Linked DNA regions of Oryzias latipes. The protein of the gene in region 1 purifies or fractionates together with the protein of each later gene. This does not show direct contact. Links are inferred from orthologs where the notes say so. Each region holds a gene or a part of one and is shown in the gene's direction. Other genes may lie near its edges. The genes, in order: fgfr1 and ribosomal protein S6 kinase alpha-3.

Region 1 (16,585 bases):
TTACTTTTCCTTATATCCTTTCCGATCTCAAGCCGGGCTCTCCAGATTGACATTTTCCAGAAAGCGTTTGTGTTGCTGCATTTCTGCAGATAAATGTGAGTGGAAGCCTGGGCAACATGGTATACTAAACACCCTCCCCTTACTCCTACTCCATCTGAACTTTAGATGGAGGAGAGCACTAAGCTTGCTCTTCTGTTTCTTTAGTTACTTCTGCAAAATGACAAACAACCCAGGAGTTGCTTGGAGTAATCCTGTCTGAATCAACCAGCAAAACCTCATAATTTCAGGGTTTGTTTGGCTGCTCAGATCAAAATTTCTCTTTGAACTCTCTTCCTTTCCGCTCTAGTAATTTATGTTTGGTTTTCACTCGTCTTTTCTCTTTGACGAGTAGCAGAAATGACATGTATCGTTTGATGTCATTTCCTGCTGTGAGAGCAGTGGTTTGCTTTAATACTGTCTCTCTGTAGTAGATGTCTCATTCCTGTCTCTCTGGAATGAGCATTACTCCAATTTTCAAGCTGCTTGTTTAACAGCTTGTGGTGCTAACATTCATCTAGGGGGTGTACTGGTGCATTTCAGTTGGTGCTTCTTTGAGGAGTATCTATGCTTCCAGAGCAACTCTTTTTTTTTAATCCAAAGCCCTGCATAGAATAATCAATAGTTGGCAAAAATGTGCACTTGCAGCATATGTGACCATGTACGGTAATTGATGCACATCTTTAGGAAGAATGGGCTGTATATGAATAGATTTAATTTTTTTCCCTAGACCTGTTTGTAAATCAACTATATCTGACTGAAGTGCACACTGCCGACTTTTCAAACCTGTGTATTTTCAAAAATCTTTAACTGAAAGAAGCCCATTACACCCTATCTACTGAGATGAATAAATGTTGCTGTTTTCATTGAGTGGGAGGAAAAAAACATAGTTTAAATCTTATTTCACAGTTGTTGTTTTTTAGCTCAAAAACATAAAAAAATATAGAAATAGACTTGCTTTAAAGTGATAATTATGATGAAGATGTATTTACTACAGTAAAGTCATGCTTTGTGGTTTACCGTGTTTTATTCTACTGCTAAATAAAGTTTGGGTAAAGCAAAAATCTCAGATTTGCATTAAAATAAATGTTCTGGACTGCAGCTGGTGAAAACACAAATACCAGGAAAAAAATCCATTCTGACATTTTAAAGTAAGAGTAAAGTAAACTAAACTTCAGTTTTTGTAGTATTTTGGAACTGATGAAAGAGAATTGGGGGTGGGATTTTAAGAGAACCAAGAATGAGGAACTCGAAATACTCTCAAAGGCCAGATTAAGGACCTTGCCATGTTAAAATATTGTGTGCACAAGCCTGATCACTTTGAAAACTGGAGATTAATTCTTTTAGTTTATTCTTTGCAGTAGAGGATAACATCTTTTGAGAATGTCGGTTGGTTTTGTGTAAAGGTACATTTAATAAATTGCCTGCACATGCTTGATTTTATTTATTTTATTCTGTTGTTAGCTTTTTAATTTATATTAATTGTTTTCTTTTAATTTAAATGAGGACAGTGCATATTCATCAATGTTTTGGCAAGTGGTAAATTGTTTTCCTAAGGCATGTAAAAGAGAAAAACATATAAACATTAAACACTTAGAACAATTCATACAACAGTAAACACAAGTGAAAACATATACCGTAATTTCCGGACTAAAAGCCGCTACTTATTTCCTGCGCTTACAGCCCTGCGGTTTATTCAGTGACGCGGCTAATTTATGGATTTAATTGGCGGCCGCCATGTACGTACTTTCGGACTCAGTGTATGGTTTGAATTCTCTATCCAACTCCAAGCAACAAGTCATTTATTTTTCAACACACCTCTTAGCTGCCAAACAGCATGCACCTCACTTCAGGTCTTAGACACTTCAGTCATGGTTCAACAAAAAGAAACACGCATGCCCGGCCGCATCCCAGAATCCTTTGGTGCCATTAGACCCAACGTGCACGTGATCGCCACTACAATATGACGCAGCTTTCAAGTTAAAAGCAATCGTTAAAAGCAGCGTGAAAAAATCCACCATCACCAACGGGTTTGGAAAAGCCGGTCAGCTGCTGACGGAAAAGCTGCAATCTGCAGCTGGGCTGCACGTAAATATGTGGGAATAACATCAGCCTTTATTTTGTCGGGACACGACTGGAAACACAAATTGACGTGGTCATTTTAACTGTTTCTAAGGACTGAGCGGAATTTTGCTTTGAAAAGCTCACAGCCTCCGTGTGAGCTGGAGACATGTTCTCCCTGCTGCTCGTTCACATAGAGCTGCGGGGCCGATGGCAGTCTGATGGCTCCCACACGTAACAACGCATCCGCCCCTCATCCACAAAACGTACAGTATCAAGTCCGATTGCTCTGCACAGACACGATTCGCTCGGTCCACCGGCGCAATGGGGACAAAGCGCTCCTCCTTGGAGCCGCTCTGGCAAGCGGTGTCGGAGAGGATAGGAAGGGGAGACAAGGAGCGCGCAGGGCGAGCGCGGGGCGCAGAGGCGTCCGCGGAGCAACAGTGTTTGTTGTGGAAGGAAACTTCTGACGCACGCGCCGCGGCGCGCGTATCGCGCTGAGGCGCGCTTTTCAGTCGGCGCTGCTTTAATTTACTGGTGTGTTTTTTAACCAGCCCTGTTACTCCCATAACGCTGCCGCGACACAAGCGGAAGGAGAGCTGTTCTTCCGTTCGCCCCTCCATCCACTGCTGTTCCTTGCTCATTCTTAAACACGTACAACAGTGTGGCGAGGCCGGGCGTTGACCCCGCCTTTAGCCCCTAAGACTCATGGGAAATGGGGGATCGCGGATGTAAATTTCCTCATCATAACTGAGGGATGTAATGTTGATTATATGGTTACTGTTTGTAATTTTATGTATGATACCTAGATTGTCAATAAGGAAAAAAAAATAAAAAAAATTAAAATATAAAAACCATAACTGAGGAACTTGTGAACAGAATAGAGGTGCATGCTGTTTGGCAGGTGTTAGTGTTTTCAAATACATGAGCCTGAGGCAAAGCTGTCTCCTCCCACAGTGTGCTAATGAATTGCGCTCAGTTTGGGAGTCAGGATGTGATTTGTCAGGCTGACCATGTTGCGTACTCTGATGCGGCTTGTGTATGAACAAAAGAAGTTAAACACGTGAAAATGAGTGGGTGCGGCTTGTAATCGGGTGCGCTCTGTAGTCCGGAAATTACGGGTAGTTTATACAGAATACTACAGCACAAAGTAGACATGAGCAGAAAAACAAAACAAAAAAAACCTCCATAGTTTAATGGACCGCAGGGATGGTTTTGAGTCCGAGTACAAGTCTAGTTTGTTTTAACCAATGTTTCAAGCTGTTTTGAACCTTGCATAGTTTTCACTCTTTCTGATGGGAACTGGACGTATATTCCAAAATTTGGTGCCTCTGACGGACACCAAATTCGCCAAATTTGGTCCTGCATCTTTGCTCTTCCCAGTCTCCGCAGGTTAAAGGTCTGGTGTGAATCCCTAGATTATTTTTCTTATGAATAGAATTCCTTAAAGGTGGCAGAGCAAGCCCTTAAAAATTAGACCCTAGAAAACAACAGATAATTAAAAAAAAAACGCACATTATATTTATTGAGAATGAAGCAATAGTGATACTGTAAATCTGCACATCAAGTGTTTTTCAACCCATTTTTAAAGATGGATTAAAGTGGCTTTAAAATAGTTGCATTTCTTTGGGACCAAGTAGAGAGACGATAGGTTAAATGACTAAAAACCATTGACTGCAAATATAATATGATACCTTTAGTAGTCAAATAAGATTGAAGAAATTAACTTGTGGCAGTATCAGTGGATGCTTCCTAAAACCAAACTGCATTGGGTGGAAAGGCGTTGACCCGTTGTTTAGATGTGAAATAAGATATGTTGTTACCCATTTTTCAACTACTTTTGAAATACTTGGTAAGATACTTGTTGATTTTTTTAATTTTTTGGTTTTGTTCTGTCGCCCGCTTTATGTATTGGTGTAACTCCAGCAGTTTTCCATGTTTTTGGAACTATATTGTGTCTAAGGGATGAGTTAATTTAATCTGAAATTGGACTTGCAGGGAATCTTAATGGGTTTTAAGAAAATGCGTAGAGAAAAAATGTATTTATGAGGTTTTAAAGGAAGTTGTTATTTTTAACACATTAAATATTTATAGTTCCGGTGTCATCAATGGGGCAGTTTGAGATTTGGGGGCTTTTTGATTGCATTGTCAATTATTCTATCAATTGTAGAAAAAAAATATTAAATATATTTACAATTGTCTCTAATTTATGAATCTGTCATTAATCCTAAAATTAACATTGCGTGTTACTTTTTTTCATGTCCTATAACTTTGAAAAGGCATCCAAAAAAAACTAATTTAAGTGTCACATTGATTAATAAAATACTTAATATTTAAATTTAATATTTAAACTTCTGTGCTTTAGAGCACACCCACTTGAAGAAATGGGTTTGGAAAGACATTATTTTTGACATGTTCATGTCACAAGCCTGATTGAGGATATAAAAAATAATAAAAATAGCTTATATGCTTTCTTTAAAAAAGCTTTAAACATTTCCTAATGTATCTCGAAAACCATGTCTGTTTGGGATTTTTAAGGTATTTCTCATATAATGGGGCAAATTCTGAAAGTTTTGCTTTACTCTGAACCTAAATCTTAGCTTGGATTAATAAAACAAGAAAAAGAAACATGGATAGTCGTAAAATTTTGAGTATACGTTTTTTTGGACTAAAGTCCCAAATGTTTATAGTTGTTCAAACCATCGTCTCCATCCTGATTGAAAAAATTTTTCTAAAACTGACCCAACACTTTTTAGGAGGTTTAGGCTTCAAGTATGCTTTGTGTTTTTGCATGTGAGAGTCTATGATGTTAATTAATCTATCCTAGCTGACTCCGCCCTTGTCCTGTCCCTCCTGTAGCTGTCACTCAATACCCCCCCACCAGTCATACCTACCTGGAAGTAGGCATTTACTGTGCTGGCTTCTTTTTCATCGCTGTCATGGTTGCCATTGCCGTCATCATCAAAATTCGCTCCACATCGAAGAAGAGTGACTTCAACAGTCAGCTGGCAGTTCACAAGCTGGCTAAAAGCATCCCTCTGCGCAGACAGGTAACAGAAAGTAGATAGGGGGTTTGGAAAACTCTTTTCCCCTCTTGTTGTTTATTCAGATTTTTTGAAACTCATAGCTTTTAGTATTTTTGCTTTGTTTGCACATTTCCAATTCTGCTTTTGTGGACGTTTGTAAATAAAAGCATTCAGAACTTGCAGGTGTATTGTAGTTGCTGATGCTCATGTGTAGCAAGTAAGTATTTAAGCTGCTCTGAAACTCCCAAACTGCAGTGCTTTAACACGACCTCTGTTCCAGTATGAGAAGATTAATGTAACTGTTTCTTACATCAGGTGTCAGTGGACTCGAGCTCCTCCAACCATTCTGGAGTAATGCTGGTTCGTCCCTCCCGCCTCTCCTCCAGTGCCTCTCCTATGCTGTCAGGAGTGTCTGAATACGAACTGCCCCAGGATCCACGCTGGGAGGTCCCAAGGGACAAGTATGTTTTTCAGAAAAAACCTTGAGAGTATACCTGAACAGCAGAGGTCTCCTGGGACTGCATTTTTCCCACCTGTAATCTCAATTAAAAATAAAGGAGTTGCGTAGAGACTGAGAAAAATCTAACACAAGCTTTAGATTACAAATAAATCTGTTTTGTTTTGAACTAAAATGTATTTTTTAAGATGAACACATCCATAATTCTCTCCTCACAGACTCGTTCTTGGAAAGCCACTGGGTGAAGGATGCTTTGGTCAGGTGATGATGGGGGAGGTGCTGGGTCTGGACAAAGAAAAGCCAAACCGCGTGACGAATGTTGCAGTGAAAATGTTAAAGTGTAAGTTACTTTCTTCAAATGAAGAACAAGAAAGTTGGACTTGTAGAAAAATTTCTTTCATTGTCCCAAAATGGGTTAGGCTTTAGAGTTAATGGCAGCAAAACGTCAACCTGGGATGCACAGATTTTAGAAAAAACTTTTTTTTTGTTGGATTCCAGCCATCATTTTAACAAGAGAACTGAGTCCAACATCTCATGAAAAGGTTCTAAATCTTTCTTAGAACACATGCGACATGCCTATTGATTCATATTTGTGAATCTTTAATCTATGTTTACAACACCCTAGGCAGCATTCATTCAAGCACCCACTTCCAATGAAAATTCTATTTAAATGCGTTTTTCTGGCTTCCGTGTTCAAAACCCTCACGTTCATGCGTAGCTACGTTAGTTTTTACAACCGTAAAAACCGTAAACTTCGACATATGGGGCGGACAAGGCAGGAATCAAACTTGCAATCTTCCAACCGACCACCCTACCATTGCACCATGGCCGCCCCATGTCACCAAGTCTTATTGGAGTAGAGCTGTGGAAGAAAAAGCTGGACCAAGATTCAAGAGAATCACCGCTTGACATTGCACACCAAGCCTGTTCCAACTGTAGGTTGGAAGAGGCTTGGGATGCGCTAGTAAACAGTAAAAAAAACAAAAAAAAAACTCCATGCTTGTCCAGTGTTAACACCATGGGTTCTTGAACATGCGGCAAATGCACGGTGTGTACATAGCTTTGTAACTGACTGGATGTAGATCAATCAGCCTGTAGTGACTTATTGTCTTCTCTTACAGCTGACGCCACAGAAAAAGACCTTTCAGACCTGATTTCTGAGATGGAGATGATGAAGATCATTGGGAAACACAAGAACATCATCAACCTGCTGGGAGCCTGCACACAGGATGGTAAGACCAGATGGAGGAGGTCCTGCTTCTGACCTTTTCTGCTCTGATTAGACCATCATGTGCAGATCTGTCCCTGAGACAGGAATGTGAAAATGACCTAAAAAGATGTGCTGGACATCATGAACAAATGATTTCAACTCCAGTCTTGACTCTTGACACTCAAATCAGATGCTCATGCTTTCACTCTGATTAAGAAAACCAATCTTCAATGATCCAACAGAGGGTTTCTTCTGCTGCTTTTCCTTCTGTTAAAAGTTCTTTAAAAGAGCTGCTATTGTTTAGCATGTTGGGTTTGCTTTGCAGAGCTTTGATGGTGTGAACAATGTGAATGCAGCAACGCAGAATTCTTAGACGTGTGTGGAGACGAGACACTCGGGACCACAGTTCAAAAATGGAACAAAAAGAGAGTTTATTGCGTTGAGTGATGTTGGCGTCTTTGCTCTGTCAGTTTGTTGGAGCCAGGAGCCTTTGTCAAAAAAACAGAAATACCTCAGGAGTTCATGACACTAAAACACCAGGCTCTGTGAAACCCTCTACAAAACACACAACTAGTAAAATAATAAACACACATGCAATTTAAAACAAAGCAGCTCTGGCAACAAAATAAAATCCGTCCTGGGTTAACTAATAGCAAGATAAAAAAAACAGAGGGGTACTTGGCTCAAAGAGGGGCAGGTCACAACCACACCCCTCTGTGTTCCAATGTCGCTGTCCCCTCTGACCGCTGTCTGGCTCCTGACTCAGCTGCTCCTCTGGTGCCGGCCAGGGCTCGTCTATCCTGACTTCCAAGGCGCCCCTCTCTGATCTGTCCCGGCGGCGCTTTACCCAACGATGAGTGTTCCTCTAATGTCAGTCCAGCGCTTGCTTGTCCTGGAGCACTCCTCCGACCAGTCGCTCCTAGCATTTGGTTGTCTGGTGGCTTTTCCTCCAACTGCTCATCTTCCACTGCTCAGTATAGCTCTTCTCGGGCAACGGCTTGTGAAATAAGAACACGGTTCACCCTGTTACATGAAGTTCAGATACCTCTGTTGAAGAACCGAGTCTGTACAGTGCTGGTCCACCGATATTAATTGCAACCCTTTCGTACACATGCACACTGTCAGAGGGAGATGGTCACGTTGTTCCTTGTCTACCGCCCTCCAAAATGGTTAGGCTGGCTGGCGGCTGCTGCCAGGGCGTCCGTGGGGTTCCTGCGCCCCTAACCTTGCAGCACTTTTTCCGCGAGGCGAGTGAGTCCACAATATCTGAGTTGGGTGGACCATATCCCAGAGAAGATGGGTAAAGCTCCTTTTCTGGGCACACCGGGGCAACGCAATTTTTCCATCACTGCTCACAGCAACTGGAGCCTGATCCTGGCCCTATCTGGAGCCTTTGCTGGCCAACGGTGTCCACCTTCCTCGTTGGGCGGGCAGTTTTTGCCACTTCCCCCAGTTTGTCCACGGTGGGGCTGGCAGGCAAGCTGCTTGGGTGTGCAGTGCAGGCTGGGTATTGGTGGTCATGGCCTGCCTCTGGGTGCAGGGGCCCCCTCAGGACGTCTGGGCGATGGCATGTCTCTCATCTGGGCATCGGCATAGGTCTTGTGTGGTCGGAGGATTGGGTCTAGGTCTGTAGCACCTTGAGGTGGGGCAGGATCTCTACCCTGGCAGGGGCTCTGTGCGCTCTCTTTTCCTCCTACTTCTCTGCCACGGGGCTGCTGAGTACTGTCCTCCTGCTCCTTTTTTGTGGTGGAGTTCTAGTGCGCGTAAGGGTGGTTATGTAAGAACTAAGTCGGACAGTTTACTTATGACACTCTTTGTTATGTCTGTATTATTGACACTCCCCATCTCCCCCATCTTAAACCCCTATGCCCCATCTTTAACAACCCACTCTTCCCTTTTTTTTTTTCCATCCAGCTCAACAAGGAATGCATATCAAAATAATTATTATAAGTAAAGCTTAGCCTCAAATTACAAAAGGGGTTTATACAAATACACACTTTGTGTGTCAGAAGATACAAAAACCCTTATTATAACAGTAAAATCTGTCCAACGCAGGAGGCCGTATGGTTTTATTTGCTTGCTCTGCTGCTAAACAGGACAAGTAAAAAAAAAAAAAAAGTGGTTCAGATCTGGGTCATTGTTTAAGGTTTTCATTTCTTTCATGTTTTTCCAGGTCCTCTATACGTGATAGTGGAATATGCATCCAAGGGAAATTTGAGGGAATACCTGCGTGCTCGCCGCCCCCCTGGTATGGAGTACTGCTACAACCCAGACCAGGTTTCAGTGGAGACCATGTCCATCAAAGACCTGGTGTCTTGTGCTTACCAAGTGGCTCGAGGCATGGAGTACTTGGCCTCTAAAAAGGTAAAAACACCACGACCACTATTTTGCAGCTGTGCAAAGCACTCAAATCAAGTCCATTTAAAATGGGACGTTCGTTCAGACCTTTTTTTCCTCCAGTGCATTCACAGAGATCTTGCTGCTCGCAATGTTTTGGTAACTGAAGACAATGTGATGAAAATAGCTGACTTTGGCCTCGCCAGGGACATCCACCACATTGATTATTACAAGAAAACTACCAATGTGAGTAATTGATCTGATCAATAACATGAATTAAACTAAAAAGGGACTTACAAAAGGAACATGGAAATGTATTTAACAACACGTTTCTTTTTGTTTTTAGGGTCGTTTACCAGTCAAGTGGATGGCGCCTGAGGCACTATTTGATCGAATATACACGCATCAAAGTGATGTGTGAGTATCATGTTCCACTACCCTTTAAAACTGTTATATAACAAGGAAAAATCGATCTCTTCGGCCGCTCATGGTGCTACTCCTCTTCATTATTTGTTCAGATGGTCATTTGGAGTGCTGCTTTGGGAGATCTTCACCCTCGGAGGCTCTCCATACCCGGGTGTGCCAGTAGAGGAGCTGTTCAAGCTGCTGAAGGAAGGTCACCGCATGGACAAGCCTTCAACGTGCACTCATGAACTGTAAGGAGCCTTTGTATTTTCTGAACTCAGAGTTTATAAAACAGAATACTTTATTTATCCCAGAGGGAAGAAGCATTTTTAGCAGAGCTCCGATCACCAAATTTCAACATGCACAAACTAAGAAAAGACAAATGCAGTGTAATACACATTAGCAGTGTGTAAAATGAAATGTATAATGCTGTCAGGTGGTTTTATGAAGTTAGCAGGCTTTCATGAAAGTTATACAATTTTATTATCACAAGAAGGAAAGTCATTCTGTGGCGTTTGATCCTTGTTGAGAAACCTTTTAGTCTAGCTGTCCTTGTGCTCCTGTATTGGTCCAGGAGCTGGTGGAGGGGATGGGTGGAGTTATCCACAATGCTTTGCAGTTTTTAAAGCATTTTTTGCTCCATCACTGCCGTTCAGGAGTCCAACTTCACTCCCGCCACGTCCCCGGCCTTGCAGATTAGTTTATTCAGTCTGTTTGAGTCTGTAACCCTCTGTCTGCTGACCCAGCAAATTACAGAAATCCTTTACCGATCTCTGTTTTTGCCAAATCATAAATTGTCATTTTCATCACTGCTTTTTAGCAGATTTTGCCTGTTGGTTCAGTTTTCAGGATCATTAGTGTGTTAAAAAATGTAAGTAATGTTAAAAACCTAGTCACAAATCTTAGACTTGGTTAACAATATTTAACATTACTGTCTTAAAATGTGCTGCTCTTAATTTTTGAGTTTTGGAAATAACCAAATGATTTTGTTTTTAAAAGTCGAGTTTTTACCTTTCATGAAAAAAATCTTTTTCTGCAGGTACATGATGATGAGGGACTGCTGGCATGCAGTTCCCTCTCAAAGGCCCACCTTCAAACAGCTGGTGGAGGACCTGGATCGTTGTCTAGCTATGACATCCAACCAGGTCAGTCCCCCTCTAGAGTCTGTAAGTGCTGTCTGAAATCAAATGTTTCTGACCCCCCCCCCTGTGTACTTGCAGGAGTATTTAGAGCTCTCTGTTCCTTTGGACCAATATTCTCCCAGCTATCCTGACACCCGGAGCTCCACGTGCTCCTCTGGTGAAGACTCTGTGTTCTCTCACGATGCTGGAGCAGAGGAGCCCTGCCTGCCAAAGTTCCCTCCTCACTCCAATGGGGCAGCAATCAAAAAACGCTGATACCTCATCTTCCTTCAAACATTGACGTTCCCCCTACTCCCTGCCTCATGGGGTTGAATTTCTCCCCACGCTCCTAGAGATGAAGCGAAAGAACACTGGTGCTCTGTGAGAGAGGAACTTTGCGATACTGTGTGGAACTCAAGTCGCAGACTGCAGATGTGGACTATGTTTACGGGGCACTTTGTATTAGCAGGAGTAGATTCACTTTTCTCTATACCTCGATCATTCCAGTGTTTGGTCATGAGAGCTGACCAAATCACGTCCGTTTTTGTAATGTTTGTGTGTATGCATATGATTGTTTTCACCACCTGATGAGATTTGGTCCAATCCCAACACACTCCCAGCAGATGTGCAGCACCATGTTTATGCACATCTTTCTTAGTGTAAATACAGTTTAAAATATATATATAAATATTACTATATATTTCCAATACTCTTATTTTGTATTAACATAATGATTTTTTTGTGTTTTGTACAAGGATGCCATGGTTTCACCCTTTTTCTAATATAATTTTTAGGGGTGGTTGTTACACGAGGGTATTCTGAAGTTGCTGTGGTTGATATGGCCAGTATTTTTTGTCCGTATTGCAGCTGTGACTCTCCAAAATGAATCATATTATCATTAATAATGTATAATGGATTTTATATATATGTATACATATTTTTTCCAACTTTAACAAACCTGAAATTACGGCATAGCATTTCATGCAGGACCAATTTTTGAAAGTGTGGCGCTGTTTGTATGCCCGTGAGTGCAGGCTTCCAGAGAACTGGTGGTATCTTCCCTGATGGTCTCTACTGTAAATACTGCAGGTAATACGAGCTGTAATATGCTTCAGTTAATACCGCCATCTGTGTGACCTTCATAGGACTAAACTTCCACTGTAAATGTTTTGAGGGGAGTAAACGTTTGCTGCCGTGTGACTTCAGATGAAGAGTTGCAGCGCACGTATGTCATTGTAAAAAGGATTACATTCAATAAAATACTGATGATCAAGCAACTTAAGCTTTCTGAATTTGAACTCTATAAATACAAACATTTCCATGCCTGTATTGGAGGTAGGTTTATAGAAATGGCCACTTAAACCTCTTAATACAGTTGCAGGAATCTGATTGGATATGATAATATGCTGCTCACCTCAGAAGAGAAGTTGGCGAGTGCGCCAAGCCTCTACCGGCTGTAAACATGTAATTTATGACCGTATGAACAGCTTGGCAATTGCTGCTACGACACTCGTCCATCAGCTCCACCAACCTTGATGCCAGTCCCCATTCTGGCTTACTGCCACTTGTGGATATATCACCTGGATTGCCGTTTCCACGCAACAGGCGAAAATCAGCTTAAGTCACTCCTGACCCTTTAAATGAGAACCTTCTCTTATCGTCCTGCTGCTTTCAAAGCAGTCACCTGTGTTGCAATAAAAACTTTAGTTTCTAATGGACGACAGATTTATATCAACATCATTTTAAACTGTAAATCAAAATATGTAACGTGGATTTCTTTATCAGTCCCAGTCAGATTGGAGATCTTTAGATGGAGCAGGAATTGGTAATTTTGGGAGAAAATATCATTCACCCTTGGAAACGAGGTGCAATAAAGCATCGTCTGTGTGTTTTGATTGTTCAAGAATAGAAAGGGCATGCGAAGCCACACTTTAAAACCTGCTAATGGTGCACAGGTGCTATTAGTTTGACTTTTATCATTTCTGACAGATGGCACATGAAGAGTTTGACGGAACAAAGTTTATTGTCTGCGCTTTTGAGAGTATAAACCGTTAGCCTGTGCAAAGAGAAAAATGCTCTGTGGCGTTAAGACCACAAATGTTCACAGAATCCATTTCTGAAAGACGAGGAGTGTGCCATCTATGTGTTTTTAAATTCCATAAAGTAATCCAGTGTGCAACTAACAAATTCCTGCTATCACTAGAATTTTTGTTATTTTATCAGTTTAGCTGCAGCTTCAGAAACATTACACTTCAATAAACCTGGTACTCAATGTTTGATTTTTTTTTATAACAATCAAACGTTCTTTTTATTCCAAAAGAAAAGGAACCATAAAATAAGATATTCGTTTACAAGTTTTTGCTTATGATTTGTATGTTGTCAAGTAAAGCGGACAATGCTGTGGTTGGGATTAGATGACCTTTGCTAAGCCAAACTTCGAAAACGAAAACTAAACAGTATTGAAGAGATTGTAAGATGGGGAACTTCCTTGTTTTCAAATGTTTACATTTAAAGCACCAGAGCATCACATGGCTCAGATGTCACTTTTGCTGAAAACATTACAACATTTTCTAATGCTGGTGAAGTTCCTGTAAACATTAACCTGAAACTTTTGGATGATGGGCAAGGGATTGCAGACACTCTGGTGTCTGAGGAAGCCTTATTGCACAAGTCTGTTGTGAATATGCTTGCGTCTGGCAAAGCAAAGACTTTCCAAGAGTTTTCTAAGGGAGTTTTCTTGCCTTACATCATTAATCAGGCTACAGATGTGAATGGGTTGATGTAGTGTGGGACAGATTTCTTGAATGCTGCCTCAATAGGGCAGTAATAAAGAGCGTCTCGAGGCCCAGGTATCCGAAGAAGGGTGCTTCTCAACACTGGCAGACGTGAAAACAAGGTAGAGTTATTCCAGTTTCTTGGCTGAGGAGTTGCTTGTTTGGAGGTGGAAGGTGTTTTGTTTGTTTCAACTTCTGATGTGAATGTTGGATACAACAGGCCAAGTGACATGGCTGCTGCGGGCATTGACCCAAACTGATCATGAAGAAGCTGCATTCAGTGCAAAATCTACCAAGTCCAATAGATGGACTGAAACCAGGAATGGTTTCATCCCAAAGTGGACCACTCTCCCTGAAGCTTCCACAGTATGTCAGTATATAAGAGCTAGTGCACTGTGGTTCCAAGAAGGCTTGTAGAGGCTTGTGCAAATTTGAGCTGCACTTCTTTGTGTTATTGTGGTGGTGCATGCCACCAGGCAGAGGGCTAGCTGGGGTCTTCTCGATCACTTCAATCTATTGATGCATGGATTGCATTGAGGTTATTATGTAATATTTAACATGTCACTTGTGTGCTTTGTGCTTTATAACTTTGTTGAGGATTTTCATTATTGACCTCTAAATGTGATTTGTATTAACATATACCCAAAGTGTTTATATTCAACTTTTGTATCTCTGTAAGCTTGGATATTGTTAAGATTTTGCTATTTGTGACTCTTTTTTAAAAATGTGAAATCTCAAGAACCATTTGTCATACAAATGATCTTGATCTTGGGCTGAAAATGTGCTGTGCAGAAAGAATGTACACGTATGTATTGGTTAACAATTATCGTGCCCCAGAAGGTAGAAGGCTGCCATAATTGGAAGCCATCTTGAATAATGGAAGTACCAAGCAAAATAAAAAGATTAATCTGCATAACTTTTCTAAAAGCCATCCCAGAGGAGGTTTTGTGTGTTTTTCCTTGGAGGCCTGTTAGATGAATTGCTTTGTGTTTTTGTTTACCAGAGATAGTTTGATTTATTTCAGTGAGGGATTATCATATGCAGGTCTGGATAAAAGCACAGTTCTCTCTCAATGAATCTCCACCGTGTCCTGTCAGTTTTGACAGGTGACCTGCCCTTCAACTCTGGAGCACCTATCAGGAATCCTTTCATAGCTCCATGCAGATTGCAGAGACGGTCCTGGGAGGATGACAGCAATGTTGGTGACGGCACTCACTGTGGAGGCGCTGTGACATCAGCATGTGTTTGTGTGTCTCCCAACAAATAAACATGAAATTTATGGGAAGAAAGGAGGAGAAGTTGGAGCAGGGGGTCTTTCAATGCGCACAAAAATGCTGAAAGGTGTTGTCGGCGCACTATTAAACTCATGAATATCCTTCTGGCCAGCGTCCATCTGCAAGGTGAAGGAGACATTCGCCTCTTGTTACTGGTGTGCCAAGTACATAAAAGGAAGCTCAGACAGTTCAAGCATTCATTTTGTGGGAAGCCGCTGCAGACAGGCCAAGATGAAGTGGACCCAGATTGTTGATTTGAGAACAGAGGAGGAATTCTAATTTTCTTTTGTCTGCTCGCTCCAATAGATTCCCCACCCTTTATAACTATAGTTGAGTAATGAAAAGCTGTTTGGGTTTACATTATGTGGTTTTGGTTGTTGTTTGTTGTTTTACTGTAGCACTAAACTTCTAATTCTGTCGAAGATTGGACTATATTGGTTTAGGAATGTTGCGGTCTTAGAGCTAAACCTTTGTTGGCCCCATAAAGAAAAATTGTCAGCAGGAGACAGTTGGAGTTCTGTTTTATCTCTGCTCTTTGGTTATTGATGTCTCCACGGAGGGCCCGGGCTCCTGTTTATGAGAGAACTGCCTGCATGACAGCTCCTTGGTGCCTTCACTGCTCTATGGGACAGGCATGACAGGAGGGGCGAGCCTGGGGCACGCCCTGTCACTCACTCCCTGCCTCCCTTTTCCATTTTCTCTATTTCACCAAGAACAGAAATACGTATGAAAGAAACAAGAAATGTTAACAGCCTGAAGTGATCACAACATGTACAAGCTGTCTTTTAAAGACTTCCAATTAAATTCAAATAATTAGTTCAAATGTAGAAATTTCTAAAAAACAAAACAAAAAAAAAACAAGACAAAGGAATACTTCTGAAAACATGAGCATTTACTGTGAGAATGACACCCAGATAACAAACAAAAAAACTTCTGTCTATATTAATGCTCCCATTAGAAGAAGAACTAACAGAAATGTTGTGTGTGGATTTATACTTTCACACTGTGCTGTTTGGTACACAAGTTTGAAAACGTATGCGAGTTCTGGACTGCCAGACAAAAAGGATCTTAGATTACATGCAAATGAACCCTGGTGTTTTTTACGCATTTACTGGACTAAGTGAGAAAGACGTCACCCTTCCAGAACCAACAAAATAAAGTCAATTCAGTCACCATTTTTTTTAACAATATGTACACCGCCATATTGGAGCCAGATATCAGTTAGCAGTGATTGGTCCAAGTAGGTCTGAGTTAACATTTCTATGACAACCAATCTGGATTGAGTTTATTGGAAAGCCACATCCTTACCACTTGAAAGCGGGCTTGGAAGAATCTGTCAAGCATATGTTTCAAATGTTTAAGACAACATACTTTTATCGAGGCATCTGATTGGCCAGTTGCATGACATTGCATGACAAATAGAATGACTTGGATAATAGCTATTTATTTCTCAATAGAATTCTATGAGATTTTGGCTTCTTGGAGCCAGTGGGCACTTCCTATTTGTGTGTGTACACAAACTATCTAGTGGACAAAAGAAGTAAATTAGGTCAGTGGTGTGAATTTCAAACTGTTAAATAAAAAACATCTGGATCGGCTCAAATGAACCATGTGTGAAACTATCACAAAACGCCTCTGTGTTTCACTGCAAATTCCACACACATTTGAACCCTTTAGCTACCTGCTCAACCAAATGGTAGAATAAACTTTGAAAATCAAATTTTTTAAAATATTGACTGTGAGTGTTAATCACCAAAGTCAATCAGCAAACGGAAAAAAAAGTTTTCATTGATATTTTTCTTGGTTGGGCTGTTAAAGGTTTAAAGACATGCTGGAAGATTTAGTGAAATGAAAAAAACCTTTTTTCATCTATGACTTATGGTG
Region 2 (16,347 bases), on another chromosome or scaffold:
TCCATGGTTCCTGCCATGGTGTGTGGGGGGTTGATGTGGGGTCACGTTTGTGTCTGCAGCTGTCAGTCAGGTTTTCTGCTCGGTCTGGACCAGCAATCAAAAGTGAGGTGTTTGAGGTCCACAGAAAATGTGGGAATCATCTCCGCTGGCTCAACAAACAAACGAGCGGAGCTGCAGGCCTGAGCTTCAGCTGGGTGCAGCTTGTTGGATGTTCGGGTGGAGTTTGGTCGGGGTTGCTGGGAGGGCAGATGCTTGCCTTCCTGTGCAGATGTTGTTGCCAGGGAGACAATGACAGGACATGCTCTAATCTCCCCGCCGAACAGCTGGACGGCCTTCCTGCGTCCCAGAGCAGAGTGCTGCAACGCGCTCCTCAGTGAGTCATTCCCAGAGTGGCCGTGTCAGAAGAGGAGCGCCATGAAGACGCTTTTATTTTACGTGAGGAACCGGCGGTACCAGGTAACACGCACTCGCACACCGACAGCTGCTCTCCGTGAGCAGACACCCAGCTCTGCTTTGGCAACAGGATCACACAGTCGTGTTTTCACAGTCTGAACCTGCACACTCTGACAGCATGCTCCTGTTTTTAGAAATCAGCTGTTATGGGAAATGCAGCAAATGTTTGGAAGTTTGGATTCAGCAGGAGCTTATGCGAGGCGCTAAGTCTCTGATCCTCTTACTGGACGGCAGCAGAACAGAAAAGCTTTCCTAACGAGCACAAAGGAGTCGTGATGGAGGCTGGTTTAGTCGGAAAAACATGCAGAGAGGCTGGAGCTCTGGGAGGACCTGCTGCTCTCTAGATGCTGCCAGCAGAACGAAGATTCAGTCTGACAGACGGCGACTGTGGACTCCAGGCCTCTGACCTTGGAGATGACTTTTGATGGAAAAGGTGGAGAGCGATGGGTGGATGGATGGGTGGATGGATGGATGAATGGGTGGATGGATGGTTGGGTGGGTGGATGGATGGATGAATGGGTGGATGGGTGGGTGGGTAGGTGGGTGTATGGAGGTAGGACTGTGTGGCTTTTCCCGTGACGGATCACAAGGCAGGAAACTGCTGGGAGACGCCCACCACAATGCATTTCTGGGTCACTGTGAGCATTGTTGTTCATTCCTGGTGGTAGGCGGATGCCTGTGTTCGGCAGCGGAGCCGCCACCCGTTGTCTGACTGTGTGTATGAATGTGTGTGTGACTGTGTGTATGAATGTGTGTGACTGTGTGAATGGGTCTAATTTTAGGCCCCGCTGCTCTGAATGTGAACTTTTCAGGAACTTGTAAGCTGGGATGGCGGCTGTGACCTTTGTGACCTTTGTGCAGCATCTCTCAGCTTCATGCGCTCCGTCCTGAGCGCTCCTTGTCCAGGTCAGCAGGACCGTCCCAGGCTGGGCTTCCTGCTCCAGCTTTGAGGCCCCCCCCTTGCAGTGATGTCAGGCCGCAGACCTTTGATGTCCTCTAATGGGGTCCAGGGTGAACGAGAGGGGGGGGATGTGAGAGGAGGAAGATGAGGGAAAGAGTGAGAGGGACAGGAACAGTGGGCCGACTGTCCAAAACATCCCACGGAGATGTGTGTTTTGGACAGATCGCCACAGGAACGGGGTTGGCATGGTGACGGGACGTCCCGTCTCAAAGTTGCTCCCCCCCCTGTCTAACAAATCTCTATTACTTTTGTTCCATATTTGTCTTTTAATTGACAGAAAATCTATTTTAGCAGAAAGTAATCCTTTTTTTATTATCTTAAACGTTTCTCATTTAACCCAACATACAGTGTTTAATAGAATTTAACGGTGTTTGATGCCATTTTAGGCACTTTCACTGCTTATTTTTCTTTTCTCATGTTCTTTTGTGCTTTCCCCCTTTCTGTTGACTCTTTCATGACTCTTATTATAGTTAATTCTAGTTAAACAGGTTTAGTTAAATAAATTTGTGATTGTCTATAGCATTCCTTTGGCTAACTTAGCTTTTAAAGTATTTTTTATCTTTTAGTTGTTTATTAGGGTAAAAAGTATAGATTAGTTATAGAAGCAAGATTCAAGGCTATTAGAAGGGTTCATTTTGTTTTAGATGGTTATATTTTTAGTAGGATTTTTTATTATGTTATAGTCTGACTTAGTTGACAGTTTGCTTTTTATTATTAAATATGACTAGTTAACCAATTAAACCCCGTTAGGGGGAGCACTGTTGTGATCACGTGACTGTTTATCTAATAAACACTCAAGAAAAACTGACCGATCCAACATGCAGAGAAAGTGAGCTGACCTCCTGACCCTGACGAGGCAGCGTTCACCGATTCCTCTGACGACCAGCAGCTGGAACCAGACAAAACACAATTCTGTATTTTTAATCATCTGTGCAGGGATGTCCAGTAACAGGATTCCTAGTTTCCATCAGACTTGTGTCGCGTTTCCTGTTGTCCCGTGGGATGGCAGCACAGGGTTGTGCTGAGGTCGGGTCAAATGGGCTCATTAGTTCATGCAGTGGAAACCCTCTTCATGCAGTGACGGCCGTTACCGCGGCGACCTGCCGCCCATGGAAACTTTACCACCAGGAAGTTTGTCGTCAACGTCAGTCAGCCTCTAAATCTATTATGGGGCTAAAGATTTGTAAATATAAGAATAGGGGGAAAGAAAGTCAGGATTTTTAAGCAAGAACTTGTTTATTTCCCTTTGTGTCTGTCAGAAAAGGGTTAAAGTTTAGCTGTCAATCATTTTTCAGTGGCATCATTCTCTGTCCTTTAGTTTTCATTCATCTAAACATTTAGACATTAAATTAGCATTCATGTTTTTCCTTTAGTATGTCACATTTTTACAAAACTTTGTTGAAATTACAAATCATTTTCTAGTTTTTCCATCTAAATACAGACATTGACTTTTATTTGTTTCCTTGAACTTTTCCATTTGATTTTGAAGCTTTTAATCCTAAATGTATGTCTGTTTGAGTGTTGTTGGTTATTTTAGGCACATCTTTCCGCTCCACGCTCCTCACTTTAGGGAGCGGCTCGGACCAAAACCAAAGGTTTGTTGAAAAGCTGGACTAGAAACGCAGCTCCCCCATTTATTTGTGTTCATATTCCATGAGGCTGAGCTAACGTCCTCAGGGAGGTGGGAGGAGGCTCACTGCGGGGTTCAGGTTTCACCTCAGGGACGTTTAGCGGAGCCATCACCTGAGGACCTGAGGGCTCTGGAGGCTCAGAACCAAATTAGGCCAGCATGCCTTTTCTAGAGTCAATTTGGTGGGAGGAGCAGCTCTGAGGTTTTTTTTTTTTTTACCTGTGCAGGTTTCACCTTTAGGTCCAGGGACAGGAGAGCTTCACATGTCCCCGCCTGTGCTGCTCTCCTCTCCTGAATCCTGTCGGATCACTGAAAGCCGAATGAAAAGCTGAGGTTGTGTCTGCATGCAGAGCTGTGATCCAGGATTTCATCCTGCCAGCTCCTGAATTAATGATGACGTCCTCCCTCCGCTCCTCCTCATCTATTCTTAATGCTCCTCGCTTTCTCTGAACCATGAAGTTTGGATCATATCCGCCTCCCACATCTCCTTCCCTCCTTTTTTTCACAAACGTACACTTTCTTGTTGCATCACTCAGACTGTGCTGCATTTGAAGGAGTCCTTCCTGCCTTTTCTGAAGAGGGAAACAAATCCATGACCTTAGCTCAAAATAATGGGAGTGGATGTCAAGAATGAGACAGATTTATGATGGAAGTGGATCATTTTCAGCCTTGAATCACTTTTCACATGAAGACTGATCAATGATTGATGGCTATACTCCAGTTTTCTTTTACTCTAAAAGAGTGACAGTGCCGGACAAACCTGAACATTGCCGTATGACAACGTTTCTTTACTTCACAATTTACTGCAGGAGTAAGAAAAACAACTTCATTCAGTAGAAAAATGAGGCTCAGCTTCCTTTCTGCCAGCGTTTAAAATCTTCTTGCAGTCTGGAAGATTTAAAATCCTTTGTGTCACATCTGAATGATCCCCTCCTTTCTGCTGCCTGAGGCTGGATTTCCTGTCAGTGCAGCAGGACTTTCTGCAGATTCTGTCCTGCACACAGACTCTGACCGCTGTCCAGAACCCGCCCCCCCCCAAACCAGCCGGACAGTCATAGTTAGGACTTTAGTGCAGAGCTTCAGTGGTTGGACCTAACGTTGAGTTAGGACGCCTGAAGGACACATCTCCGCCTTCTCCTGTTTGGTATCTGAGCCCCGGGGATGGGCGGCGGAAACGCACTTCTTCTGTCCAACCTGACAAATCCTCCTGGTCCCTGTGTGTGCGCATGTGTGTGTATGTGTGTGTACGTGTATGGTGGCCAGCCGGCACGTTAATTTGATTGCGTAACGGGCTTAGAGGGTGCAGATTGTCTGGAATGGAATCCTGTTCACTCAAACCATGGAAACCCCCCCCCCCCCACACACACACACACACACAAACACCCCCCCTCACACACACACAGACGTTAAATCTGAGGCGTTTAGTTGATGCTCTTACCCGCTGTGAGTCAGGAGGCTGGAAGACCCATCAGACATGGCGTGTTGGGAGGACGCACACAGCAGCGGTGTGTCTGCTGGTATCACTGGAGACACAGTTGCATTTATTTCTGTTGTCAGGGTTGATAAAGGGAGCTGGACACGCTCTCATCTCTGTCTCACCTTGTTGGCCACAGTTAAATTCCCCCTTTTTTTTACTCACAAACGCACCAAAAATCTCTCTGAACAATTAGAAAATAGAAGCAGAATGATCCAGAATGAGAAAAGACACAAAGTTCTGTTGCTTTGAGCACAGCAGACAGATTGGTCGGTTTGTGTGTCATTTGTGAGGATGTCAAAGTTGTCCGTGATCATTTGGGGATCAAACCCTTTCAGCTGTGCCGCTGCGTCCTTCAGCCCCGTCCGTCTTAGCTCTGGCGTTGGTGGAAAGCAGAGCGAGGAGGTGACAACAGGTGGAGGTAATCCAAGATGCGTCACACATCCTGTCAACTGCCCCCCCCCCCAGCATTGTGTACATTGTGTAAGCGGGAGCAGTGGGCCGGGACAGCTGGGGGATTGGGTCTGTGCTGGAGGGCGTCCTGCCGCGCCGCAGCGGCGTTCAGTGGGTCGTTTGGTTTGTGCGTCAGCGTTTGTGTACATATGTCTGCGTCAAAGAGGCAGATTTTCTAGAAGATTTCACGACTTTTTGCTCCGGGTGAACACCGTTCCTCTGAAAACGATGCGAGAAAGAGCGTTTTTGTCTTTCATCAGAGCCTTCCATGAAGATGGGAATGGAGCAGAAGAGGCAGCCTACTAGAACACAAACTTCTACGCTGCTGTTGGTCAGCGGCGTGAAAATGTTCACAAAGACAAAGAGCACTAGCATCAACGCTACCTTAAAAACAGCCCTTCAAAGGAGAAACCAAACCTCTGTGGGATGACGTGGTCCCGTCTGTTCACCTCCAGGCTGCTGCATTCTGGGTCAATTTAAGATCCTGGGGTTCTAACAGGAAGTGTTTTACAGGAAGTTCCCACTTCCCTGTAATACAGGAATGACATGGCTTTGAGTGAAACTCACAGCTGGAAAAATTGGAGAAACCAAAGGAAGGAGCATGTGCAGCTTCTCTGCTGAATGAGGTCTTTATGGCCCCACATCTATGGGATGTTCAGGTGCAACATCAGGAGGGGGTTTGGAGACCACCACGGTCACGTCAGAGAAAGACGCTGCGCCACAGCCTTCAGCCGTCCGTCAGTCGATCCCACCGAGGACTGATGGACGGAGTCAAGGGTGATCTGCAGCTCAGAAGAATCTGGAAGGTCCAGCATCAGAAGATCAGATCCTCCGTGTGCAGCGGAGACTCAGTCTGGGTTCTGGATCCTAAACCAGTGAGATCCAACAGATCCCGTCAAGAACCAATAAGTGATTCAATCATCAATCATCTTCTTTCTGAATCTTTAGGACTGAAATGTATTGATTGTTATGTTAATGTTGTTTTTTACTTTAAAAAGGATCTATCTAGTATAAATATCATCAATATGTTTAAACTGATGGTTTACTTTATTTGCACTTGTTTGAAATGGTAGATTTACAGGATTAACCAAAGTTACTCAGACTTCAGAGGAGGCTGGTCTTTCCTGAAGTTCATCTGTGTGGTTTTTGGTTTTCTCATGTTGTTGATGGTTTTATAATTACGATCAGCATCGGCTCTTCAATTCAAACTATTTATTCTTAAATAAATGGGTTTAACTGAACGCATTTGAACATTTTAGCATCTTGACGTCCAGGTTTTTATGAACTTAAAGTAAATCATCCACCAAACGTTTCAACATTTAAAAAGAAGCTGAAAGATTTGAAAAGCTTTTCCTGTTTGTTCATAAAGAGCATCGGTAGTAGAAGCAGGAAGGGGCTGAACGTTAACACGTCTGAGCGGTTGAAGCAGCTGAGGACGTTCAGATTTACGGTGCAGAAGAGGGTTTTCCCGCCTCCAGCTGACGGACAGGGGGGGGGCACGCCAACCAGCCGGCCGGCCGATCGGTGCTTTCCTGAAGCGGTTTTTCTCTCCTGGTGTCCTTGTGGGGATCTCCAGGTTCATCTGGAAAGCAGAAGGTCACAGCTGCATGTTCACGCGTTCAAGAGGGAGGGGGGGGGTCCCACTTCCCATCCCGGTTTGGAATTACCCCCCCTCCCTTCCTTTCCCAGCCTGTTCTCCGGGTATTCCCTCTCTCTGCTCAGACCCCCAGCGCCTCACTTCATGCCACCATGACACACTTTGCGGCCGCGGCGCCGTGCGTGTGCGCCATCGGCGGCCTCATCAGAGGCCTGAGGAGCAGACTCAAGTCGCTGCGGCGGCTGTTGCTCACCCGCCGCCGTCCTCGCCCGACCCGGAGCTTCAGAGGAGAGCCCTTCCACAATCCTGGGCTGGAGAGCTGGAAGCCTGTGGGCTCCTTCCTGAGCCGTCATGCAGCAGACCCCCCCTGTGCGGCTGTGAGTACTCACTGGGACCCCCCCAGCCCCCTGCATGTTTGAGGGTCCCCCCCCCGCCTCTGACAGCTCACAGCGGCAGAGGTTCAGCTGTCAGCCGGGCTGTGGTTCACGCTGCCCTTCAGACAGATGAGCGTGTCGCCGAGGTTTAGTCTGCTCGTGAGTGACAGTCACAGGGCTCGCCGCCGTGCACGTGTGTGATTGGCATCAGGTCACGGCGCGCTTATCCTCTCCTGCACTGGCGTGTGCCGCCGTCAGACCTTTGTTCCACGTAAAGATAACAGTTTGGACGGCTGCAGTCAGACCCGTTCCAAGTCCTCCCGGAGTGTCGGAGGACTCCAGCTCCAGCTTTTTCACGGATCAGCTGTCACTCTCAACAATAATAAGGTCATCGTCTCCGCTTCCCAGCAGCTGTTGTTGCGTAAGATGAAGGTGGAAGCACGAAAACATCCTGAGGCCTCGTGAGTTGGTGATGAACTCAGGTGAACATGTGGTTGAAACCGGATTTTTAGCGTTTCCTGCAGGATGTTTGCTGCATCTGTCACTTCAAACCGATGCGGGTTACTCTCTCCTATGGCTTCATTTTCAGAAACGGTCGTACTTCTTCATGTCCTCTGCATCTGGGGATGGAATAGAATAGAATAGAATGCTTTACTGGCAGCCGTCGTCTTAATGTGCATCTGGAGACACAAAGGTGTGGGGTGTGGTGTGTTTAGGAGCCTGATGGTTCTTGGACAGCAACTGTTTTCACGGCTGTGTGGGATCTATGGTCTATGATGGCAACAGTCTGAATAAGTGATGACCAGGGTGAGATCAGTCGGTCAGGACTTTTCTTGGCTCCCCTGAGGCGGCGTGAGCTGGAGATGTGCTCCAGGGGGGGCAGAGGGCAACCGATGACCTTCTCGGCCGTCCTGGTCACCCTCTGCAGGGCCATCTTGTTGGTGGGACTGTCCCAGGGGCAGAAGATAAATGAGAACAGGTTGGTTTGGGCGTTCTCTCCTGAGAACCAAAGACTGACCGTCTGAGGCACTATTGCCTGAAACGAGCTCCGACCAGGACTGGAGCAGAAAAGCTGCTCGTCCACTCCATGTTGACCCGGCAGACATGCTTCCTGCTCCTTCAGATCCATGCTGTGGGCATGCACACCAGAGTTCACCTGCAAGTCAACAGAGATCCTCATTCTGAAGAGGACCACGGTTCTCCTGTTTGGTCCGGATGAAAGTTATCACCCGACCTTTTTGGCTCCAAAAGGGATTCTTTTATTTTGTTGCTTTCTCTCTGTTTGGACTTTTTATGCATTAAAAAAAAGTTTTAAGTTCACAAGAAGACTTTAAGATGAGATCAAAGCAAAAAAAAAAACTTTCAAATGGAGAGAAGTCAGAATGTTTATGTTGTATTCCTTTTATTTGATGTTAATTATAAAATGCTGAGGAAGGTTTTTTCGTGGAGGTTCTGTGTCCTCCAGCTGTTTTATTAGATGTATGTATTTCCAAAAGCATCCATCATTTCTGTGACATTTTAACGTTTAACTGTAGGACTCTAAATAAACACAGAGTGCAGGAAGTTTTTCCAGCGTGAGCATAAATGTGAAGGCTGAGCGGATGAGTGACGATGCTGAAGGTCAGGAATGATGAAGCTGCTTTAGTCTGGAGTTGTTCTTATCCAAAGTGTGAACATTATCAAAACCATGCTGGACTGCATGTGAAGAAGCTAAACGTCGTCTGAACTGGAATGATACTTGCAGCTGCGAGTTTGTAGGATCTCTGCAGGATTTGAAGGTTTTCGCTTTTACTTTTTAAAGAGTGAGAAAAAAAACCTAAAGACCAGTAAGAAAAAAACTGACAGCTTTCAGAGGAAAACAGCCTGGCACAGGTGAAAGGGTGAGCTCTGCAGCGGTTGTTGTGTAACGTCCTTCTCTGGATCCCTCGTCTCCATAAGCGCTATGAGTTCTGGATGCACAGACTGGCAGAAGTGGTCCTGAAGGCCCCCTCCCTGCAGGCTCGGACCTGAGGGGGGGGAAGCAGGGTTTGTGTCAAGCGTCTGCTGCTCATAACTGCATTACACCGCTCTCTGGGAGGCTCTAACTCGATCTGAGGAGGTTTGCAGGAGCGCTCTAACCCGCTGATGTCCACTTCTGCCCGTCCCAACACGGTGATGAAAACCTGCATCGCTTCATGGGACCAGTTCAGGAGCAGGAAGCATTGAAATGCTTCAAAAACTCACTGAAACCTACTGTGACAGAAGGACAAAGAAGGTGCAGCAAACGGAGGAAAAAGGAAAACATGCACAAATACCCTTTTCTGATAAAGTGACTATAAGACAGAAAATACGTCTGAATTTCCCGCCGACTCCAGAACTACTGAAAATTGAACAAACATGAACATTACACAAAGACTTTTTATGAATCAACTGTGTTCTGATGACAAAACCTGCATAGTTTAGACAAAGAAACACACAGAAATACATGTTTTTTTCTCACAACTATTGTTTCAATGCAATGCATTATGGTCTATATTCGCCAATCTAGTGAGCATCTATGCACACTGGTTTTTCGCAGAGACTTCTGGGAAATTTCCAGGCACTGGATTTTGGAATTGTAGATTCAGACAGCAGTAGAAAATGGTGAGCACTCTGTATAGTGAACTAAGTAGTGAGTAGTGAAGGAATTTAGACCCAACCAGAGGCTCAGTGTACTGAGGGCAACACTCCACCTTCGTTATTAGCCATCAACATGAGGAGACGCTCTGATGTTGATGACTATGACACATCAGTAAATCCAAATACCAAAGGCTGTCACTATGACCCGAGTTCAAACTCAAGTCCTTCAGAATCTCAGCATCAACACCACTTATTCTCCCTGTGTGGAACCACACGTACACTACATGTTGAGCTATTTCTTCCGTAGTCCTTTGAATGAGTGGGAGCAGCAACACAAACTGTTGTGGCGCCAGAACAACATCAACACAGCTCCCTGAATTTAAAGGGAGGAGTTCCCGTTTGGTCTCTAATAATGGCTTTCTCTCCCTGATTTTGATGTCAGTGAGTTAAAAATAAAGCAGCATGTCTACATTTTCACGGCACATTTGGAATTCTTTGAGTGTGGTGAGATCAGATAAGCCGTTCGGAATGAGGAGGAAGAGTTTTAGTTGTTTTTGTTTGGCGGCTCCTGCGTGATTTGGTTTTTAAAAAGGCTTCCCACGTGGAAGCAGGAGGACGCTCTGATTACTGTTGAACTTCCAACAGAGTATTCATCATTTCATACAAATAAAAAACATGCAGCACTAGAGCCGTCCCCCTGTGAGACCTGAACCTCTGACCGGGACCAACAAAGCTAGGACCTGGTCTTTCTCCTGATCACAATACTCTCTGTCCAACCCTTATGTAGTCCATAGACTACAAAAACTCTCTCCTGAGAAAGTAAACAGACTCTGGTTTGAAGAAAAATGGTCTCATCTTTAGTCTTACAAAAACAAACAAGGGTTTTTTCTTAGTTTGAGAAAAAGTGTCTTAATTCCTTCACTACTCATTCGCTTCTTTGTATGGCTAAACCATGAGCCTTAGAAATTTCCCAGAAGTCTCTGCAAACAGCCAGTGAGCATCGATGCCCAGTAGATCGGCAAATATAGACCACAATGCATTCCGTTTGAATAATTTTGTTCAAAAATGGATTCATATCAAGTCTTCATAAAGAGGGGCTGCTTCTTCTTCTTTCTATTAACTCGTGTCCACCAAGTAAATCTGGAGAATCTCGCTCCATTCACAGCTCCATTCATTCCCATAGACCAAAGAGGTGGTGCCGGACACAAACTGCAGTTATTCATTTCTCCTCCATGATCACATTTGAAACGCTTCCGTGAACTGAATGGGAACGGGAACGTCAAAGTTCCACAACTTTCAGCGTGGGCTCAATAGATGCACATTTGATTGGTAAAGCCCAAAAAAAGCCATAAAGAGTTGAGTAAAGACGCACGACTTTTGAGCGCCCAAAACGCGCATTTGCACGTGTTTCCATATCTGTTCATCCGAAGTTTCCCTGGAACGTGCGTTGCAGAGGGGGGAGTGAGCGTAGCTTAACCATTAGACCCAGAGTGCAGATGCCACTGTTTTACTTTTCTCCCAGTAGGTGGAAGTATATCATTTTATCATCGGTTTACATCCACCAACCGATGAAGGGATAGTTTGTGATCCATAGAAAAGAGAAAGTCCTGTGGACTTTACAGTGTTTTCTACGTATTGTAGAGCATCTGTGGCTGACCTTACGCTGTCGTTTTAATCATTTGAAGTGATTGGATCAGTGAGGTGACGGTGTTTATAGTCATCACACAGGTGGGAACCCTGCTTCTGCACCGAGGAGGTGCTGCATGAGAACCAAAGGAGCCGATTCTTATCTAGAACTCTTGTCAAAGCATGTTTTTGGCAACAGCTATAGCAGTGGAATTTAGTGAATGTTGTTCTTCTCCTGTGAAAGTGTGCAGCATGAAACCAAACTAAATGAAGGCATATTTTGGAAGTGAGTCCTCCTGACTCCCTGACTGCCCAGTGTCAAAACTTCAACTTAAAAAGCAGTGAAAGAGGTTCAGCTGTTCTCGGTTCAGTAAAAAAACACTCTTACAGGTTTTTCTGTGTCCACACAGTTGGTACATTTTGTTACAGTCTATCAAATCGTCCTTATTTTGTCATATCTGTTGTTGATGTTGAAGTTTTTCTGAGTCATTTCTCAGGAACCTGTAATCAGCTGAAGAGTCTCTGAGGAGCCAAGTCTTCATGTTGGGGATCAAACCTAGAATTATGCAGTGAATGATGAACCGCTGCAGGTGTTGGTGTTCAGCGTCCTGCTCAGCTGTGCAGTCAGGGAGCTAATTGTCTTGAGCGCGGGAGGCGGATGGATTGAAATAGTCTTCAGAGGAAGAAGCTGGATGCTGTTGAAGAGCCTTCATGAGGAAGATGCGTGCAGGCCGGCGTGGAGCTCTACCTGTTGGCGAGCTTTCCCTCTCAGTCCAGTGAATCAGAGGTGCTGCGAGCGGCCTGTCGCCTCAGCTCCGATCCTCCATCTGTGTTCTGAGTCACAGACGGCATGATCCGATGTGTCAACACTCCCAAACGTTCCGCATTGTCCTGAACACGGCGACAGCAGAGGGGATGACGTGCTGTGCTGACGGGCTGAGGTGTTTGCTTTATTGTGCAGAGACGGTCGTCTTTTTCTGTTTATTAACGCTTGATGGACTGAACTTCACATCTTTATCCAGACCCAGCATCCGTTTATCTGGAAGCTTCACTGAACAGCTCTTTAGAGGGAACTTTGAGTCTTTAGATGAGTCTCCTCTTCCTCTTCCTCTTCCTGTAAGCTGTCAAGAGGATGTTTGCTAACTTTCCTTCAGCTTGTTGTGTCATTAGGTTGACACATGTGATGAAGTGGTTGACCTCTTTTTGTGCAGCTCTCCTGGTTGGTGTTTGACGGGATTTCACCAGCTCCGTGTGAAAACCACGAGCTGCTGTGGACGACGGCTACTAGAAAGTTCTGTGCTTTTTGAATCAGCGCAGCAAACAGCCGCCTCCCGCCTCCCGCCTGATCAGGCAGGAGGCAGGAGGCGGAGCTGAAGGTGGACGGTGTTTGAAAAAGGTCCTGCAGGCTCTGACCCCAATAATGTCGCAGGCGAGAGATGTTCTGCAGAACCCCCCCCCCCCGACTCCGGTTCCCATGAGCAGCCAGGGAAGAGGGAGGTGCGAGCCAGAAAGGAGAGGTGAGAACAGTTCAAACAAAGATAGAAAAAGCGAGAAAGTAGGAGGTAACGAGGGAGGAGGGAGGAGGACATCTCTCTCTGGGAGAGAGACGTGTTCTGTCAGGGACGAGCAGAAGCCGCTCCTTCTCCCTGCTGTCTGTTCCCGGGAACATGATAACGCCACGCAGCTTTAGACGCCGCCGGGACTACAGGACCCACAATGCACTGGGAGACCTGGCAGAGAACGAGTGCGTGGCCTGGGATCATCAGGTATTTGTGGGAGACGGGTGTGGACTTGTTGACCTTTTGACGTGCTGGGATGGCTGAGGGCAGGAGATGCTGGAGCAGGAGCTGGAGGGGGGGCGCTGCTGCAGGTTGGACGCCGTGTGTGGACTTGGGTCATTCAGCGCAGGGGGCGGGGGGCAGGTGCTGTGGGTGCTTCCAGGACAACCGCATGGCCATCTCTGTGTGAGTGGTAGTTTCCCGCAGAGCGCTGACGAACACTCGGAAAGCTGGCTCAACCTGTTGGTGAGTCACGGAGTAACCGGGCGTCCATCATCCTTTGGACTCAGGGTTTCTGATCCCTTCAAAATAAAGCCCAGTAGTAGACTTCCTGTGACCAAACAGTGCCGGACCGGTTCAGACTGGTGCTGTTTGTGGAGGATGAGCGCACCGAGGCCGCACCCTGTGTTGTCATTCTGTAGCTGCAGTGCATCATGGTCTAATGAGGCTTTGCCATCGATCTCTTGACGTCTCTAATGGCTCACATTTCAGTGCTGCTAATTCCCTTTGTGTGTGGGCGGGTGCTCGCTGCAGCAGCTGACTCTGGGATAACGTGGCGTCCACCTCAGGCTTTAGGCTGTTTTCAGCTCCTCCTGTGTCAGGCAGACGTTCCCTCTCCTGACGGAGGAGCTCCATCCAGGTGATGTGGTGATGGGCTCCGAAGATGCCAGAATGATGAGATGATAGCAGGATTCTTCAGGGACTGGGTCCAGTTTGAATCAGCTGGTACTCCTTTGTTGAACTGCACTGTGACGAGAAAACAAAAGTAAAACAACAGGAAGGACATTTGAGTTGATCTGAAGTCAAAGAAAAGCAGTCATTTCAGAATAAAATGATGAAGTTTTAGTCTGAATCTGACAAGCAAAAAAAAACTTGGAGGTGGTTCGAACAGTTCAGGAAGAGTTAGTTTCAGGGTCATGTTCTGTTTCTTGTTCTTTGCTGACTCTGACTTTAGAGAAAAATCCAGCAGATTAGGAGGTGTGGAAGTCATAGAACAGATAAAAGTGTACTGATGCTTAGGTGTGGGAGGGGGGGGCATGCTCATTAGAAAATGGATGGAGATGCAAAGATGAAGACGTTTCAGAAAAAAACAAAGAAAGTTCTTAATAGTTCATCCAAACCCTCCATCTTTGCCTTTTGAGAGACAGTGGAGCTTCAACACAGCTTTGCTTAACCCTTGTGCTATCCTATGGGGTCCAGATGACCCCCCCTTACATTGACGTGTTCTCCCTACCATGACAAAGGTGGATAAAGGTGGAAAGATTTCATGTAATCCATGGACACCAGTGAAGATCACAAATCATTGAAGAATAAAGGTTCAGAGCACTGTCTAGTGGGTCTAGATGACCCAACTCCCAATGTTAACGTGCCTTTACGGGAGTTGGGTCTTCCAGACCCCACAAGACAGCACAAGGGCTAACAGCATCTGAGGTCTTCACCTCTTAAGAAAGAAAGATTGTGTTTGCTGTAAACAGAAATATTAGCGGCAGGGATCATGTGTGAAGCATTTCATTTTGTCACACTGCTATTGTGTAAAGGTGAGCCACACCTGTGCTCAGGTGGGTGTTTATGTTCTGCTGAGGTGGAGTGTCCAGCCGTCCCCACACCAAGACCCCCGAGGATTCACGCTGTCAACAGTCCACATCACATGACCCCAAAGACCTGCGTTCTGTGCAGGTTCTACGTTTTGTCCAACACAAGAAAAACTCCACAACTGTTTGTGAAAGCGTTTCATCTGAGGCGTTCAGCAGGATTTCCAACAGGAAACCCATCTGTTTCACTTTGAATCTTGATGGATTTCATTCATTCTCCAACCACATTCAGCCTTTTCTGCTCAGTTTCACACCCGCCGTCCTAAATAAGCGTCTGTTTGCTCAGACGTCTGCCAATCCAAAGCTGTAGACGTCTCTGGCAGCCTTCTGATGTTTTTCACATATGTTGGTGTTTTTAACAACCGTCCTAAACTCTGTCACTGAAGGTAGCTTTGACATGGAGCATGTTCAGCACTGTTAGCCCCTGCAGCTGTCTCTCACCTTCACTCACGAAGCTTCAAATTCAGCATTTTGGCTCATTATTACCCAGTTTTTCTACACAATCTTTGATCCGGGAGGAGAAACGGGTTCTCATTTAAAACAAACAAAACATTGTTGAGCTGTGATTCACTTCAAACACACAACCGTGCAAGAGTGTAACTGCTGTTTCATCCGTTTACAACAACCCTATCAGAAACTTGATTGAATGAGTTTAGCAGAAACGTTCTGATCAGTGAAATGTCGTCATTTTGGGGAGTTCTGTCCAGTGAAACAAAGCTGTCAGACTGCTCAACCAGGCGGGAACCGACGCTCATGTTGTGCGTCTGCTTGTGTTGCAGGATGATGCGTCCATCAAAGAGATCAACATCACTCATCATGTGAAGGAGGGGTCGGAAAAGGGGGATCCTCGGCAGTTCGAGCTCCGCAAAGTCCTGGGACAGGGCTCCTTTGGCAAGGTGATGCTCCGTGCACGTGTGGCGTGCGCTGGTGTTGAAGTATCCGTCAGCCGGTGCGGCTGAGAGCGCCTCAACAGTGAGGGGTTCATTTCCTCTCCGCTCCCGGTCATGTTCCCCTCGTGGTGGTGCTTGAGAGACTGTTGCTACGGAGACGGGGGGCGTCTCTGTGAATGAACGGTTGCTCTGCGTCGGTCAGGGTGCCTCTGCTTCTGTTTGTCCACATGAGGTGGATCTGGAAAAGGAGGCCAGCTGAGACAAAACGAGCCTGACCGACACAAGAACACAACAGTCTGCCCCCCCCCCCCCCCCCCCCCCCGCCCCCGTTTTGAACGAGATCTTTCTGTTTAGGTGTTTCTGGTGAGGAAGATCACCGGGCCGGACGCCGGTCAGCTGTACGCCATGAAGGTCCTGAAGAAAGCCACGCTGAAAGGTAAAGCGGGTTCAGCCTGGTTCTTCTATGTTTGTTTGGGGGGTCTTGGAGTCCCCGTGGTCCCACAACAACCCCCTCAGGAGGATGTAGGAGACTCTACAGCTGCTTCAGTTTGTTTTTTTTGTTTGCTTTTTTTAACTTGTCCTGTCCAACAGCTGGGCAGACAGATGAGAGCTGAGGGCCTCTTGTGTTGGACATATTTTACTTTAACAAGAGGGGTTATTAATCTTCAGACAAACCAAAGGTATGTCTGGATAAACCCCTTTTGTAATTGAGGCCAAACTTTATTAATTTCAATCATGTCTGAAAATCTTTGGTGTTGGACCGGACGGAAAAGGAAAGAGGGGAAGAAGAGAGAGGGACGATAGAGAGAGGGGGGGTAGGGGGTGATAATAGGAGGGGAAGGGGGATAAGACCATGAAGCAGCATAAAGCAACAAGTTTACTGGTTGTTAATCATTATGGTAAGGTTCAAATGTAGTACAA

What was found.
Region 2: the proteins of fgfr1 (region 1) and ribosomal protein S6 kinase alpha-3 purify together in Homo sapiens (affinity purification with mass spectrometry; 4 studies listed by BioGRID and IntAct, with this or other methods). This does not show direct contact. The link is inferred for Oryzias latipes from reciprocal best matches to the Homo sapiens genes FGFR1 and RPS6KA3.

The regions. Positions count from the first base shown.
Region 1 is NC_019867.2:20,585,379-20,601,963, reverse strand, and holds the end of fgfr1 (fibroblast growth factor receptor 1 precursor), read left to right. Parts: intron 1-4,956; coding exon 4,957-5,153; intron 5,154-5,438; coding exon 5,439-5,584; intron 5,585-5,798; coding exon 5,799-5,920; intron 5,921-6,701; coding exon 6,702-6,812; intron 6,813-8,963; coding exon 8,964-9,154; intron 9,155-9,250; coding exon 9,251-9,373; intron 9,374-9,473; coding exon 9,474-9,544; intron 9,545-9,645; coding exon 9,646-9,783; intron 9,784-10,571; coding exon 10,572-10,677; intron 10,678-10,752; coding exon 10,753-10,929; 3' UTR 10,930-11,930; downstream 11,931-16,585. UniProt on the Homo sapiens protein: Tyrosine-protein kinase that acts as a cell-surface receptor for fibroblast growth factors and plays an essential role in the regulation of embryonic development, cell proliferation, differentiation and migration.
Region 2 is NC_019878.2:2,767,629-2,783,975, reverse strand, and holds the start of ribosomal protein S6 kinase alpha-3, read left to right. Parts: upstream 1-6,705; 5' UTR 6,706-6,720; coding exon 6,721-6,945; intron 6,946-12,807; exon of another isoform or gene 12,808-12,833; coding exon of another isoform or gene 12,834-12,932; intron 12,933-15,315; coding exon 15,316-15,432; intron 15,433-15,780; coding exon 15,781-15,862; intron 15,863-16,347. UniProt on the Homo sapiens protein: Serine/threonine-protein kinase that acts downstream of ERK (MAPK1/ERK2 and MAPK3/ERK1) signaling and mediates mitogenic and stress-induced activation of the transcription factors CREB1, ETV1/ER81 and NR4A1/NUR77, regulates translation through RPS6 and EIF4B phosphorylation, and mediates cellular proliferation, survival, and differentiation by modulating mTOR signaling and repressing pro-apoptotic function of BAD and DAPK1.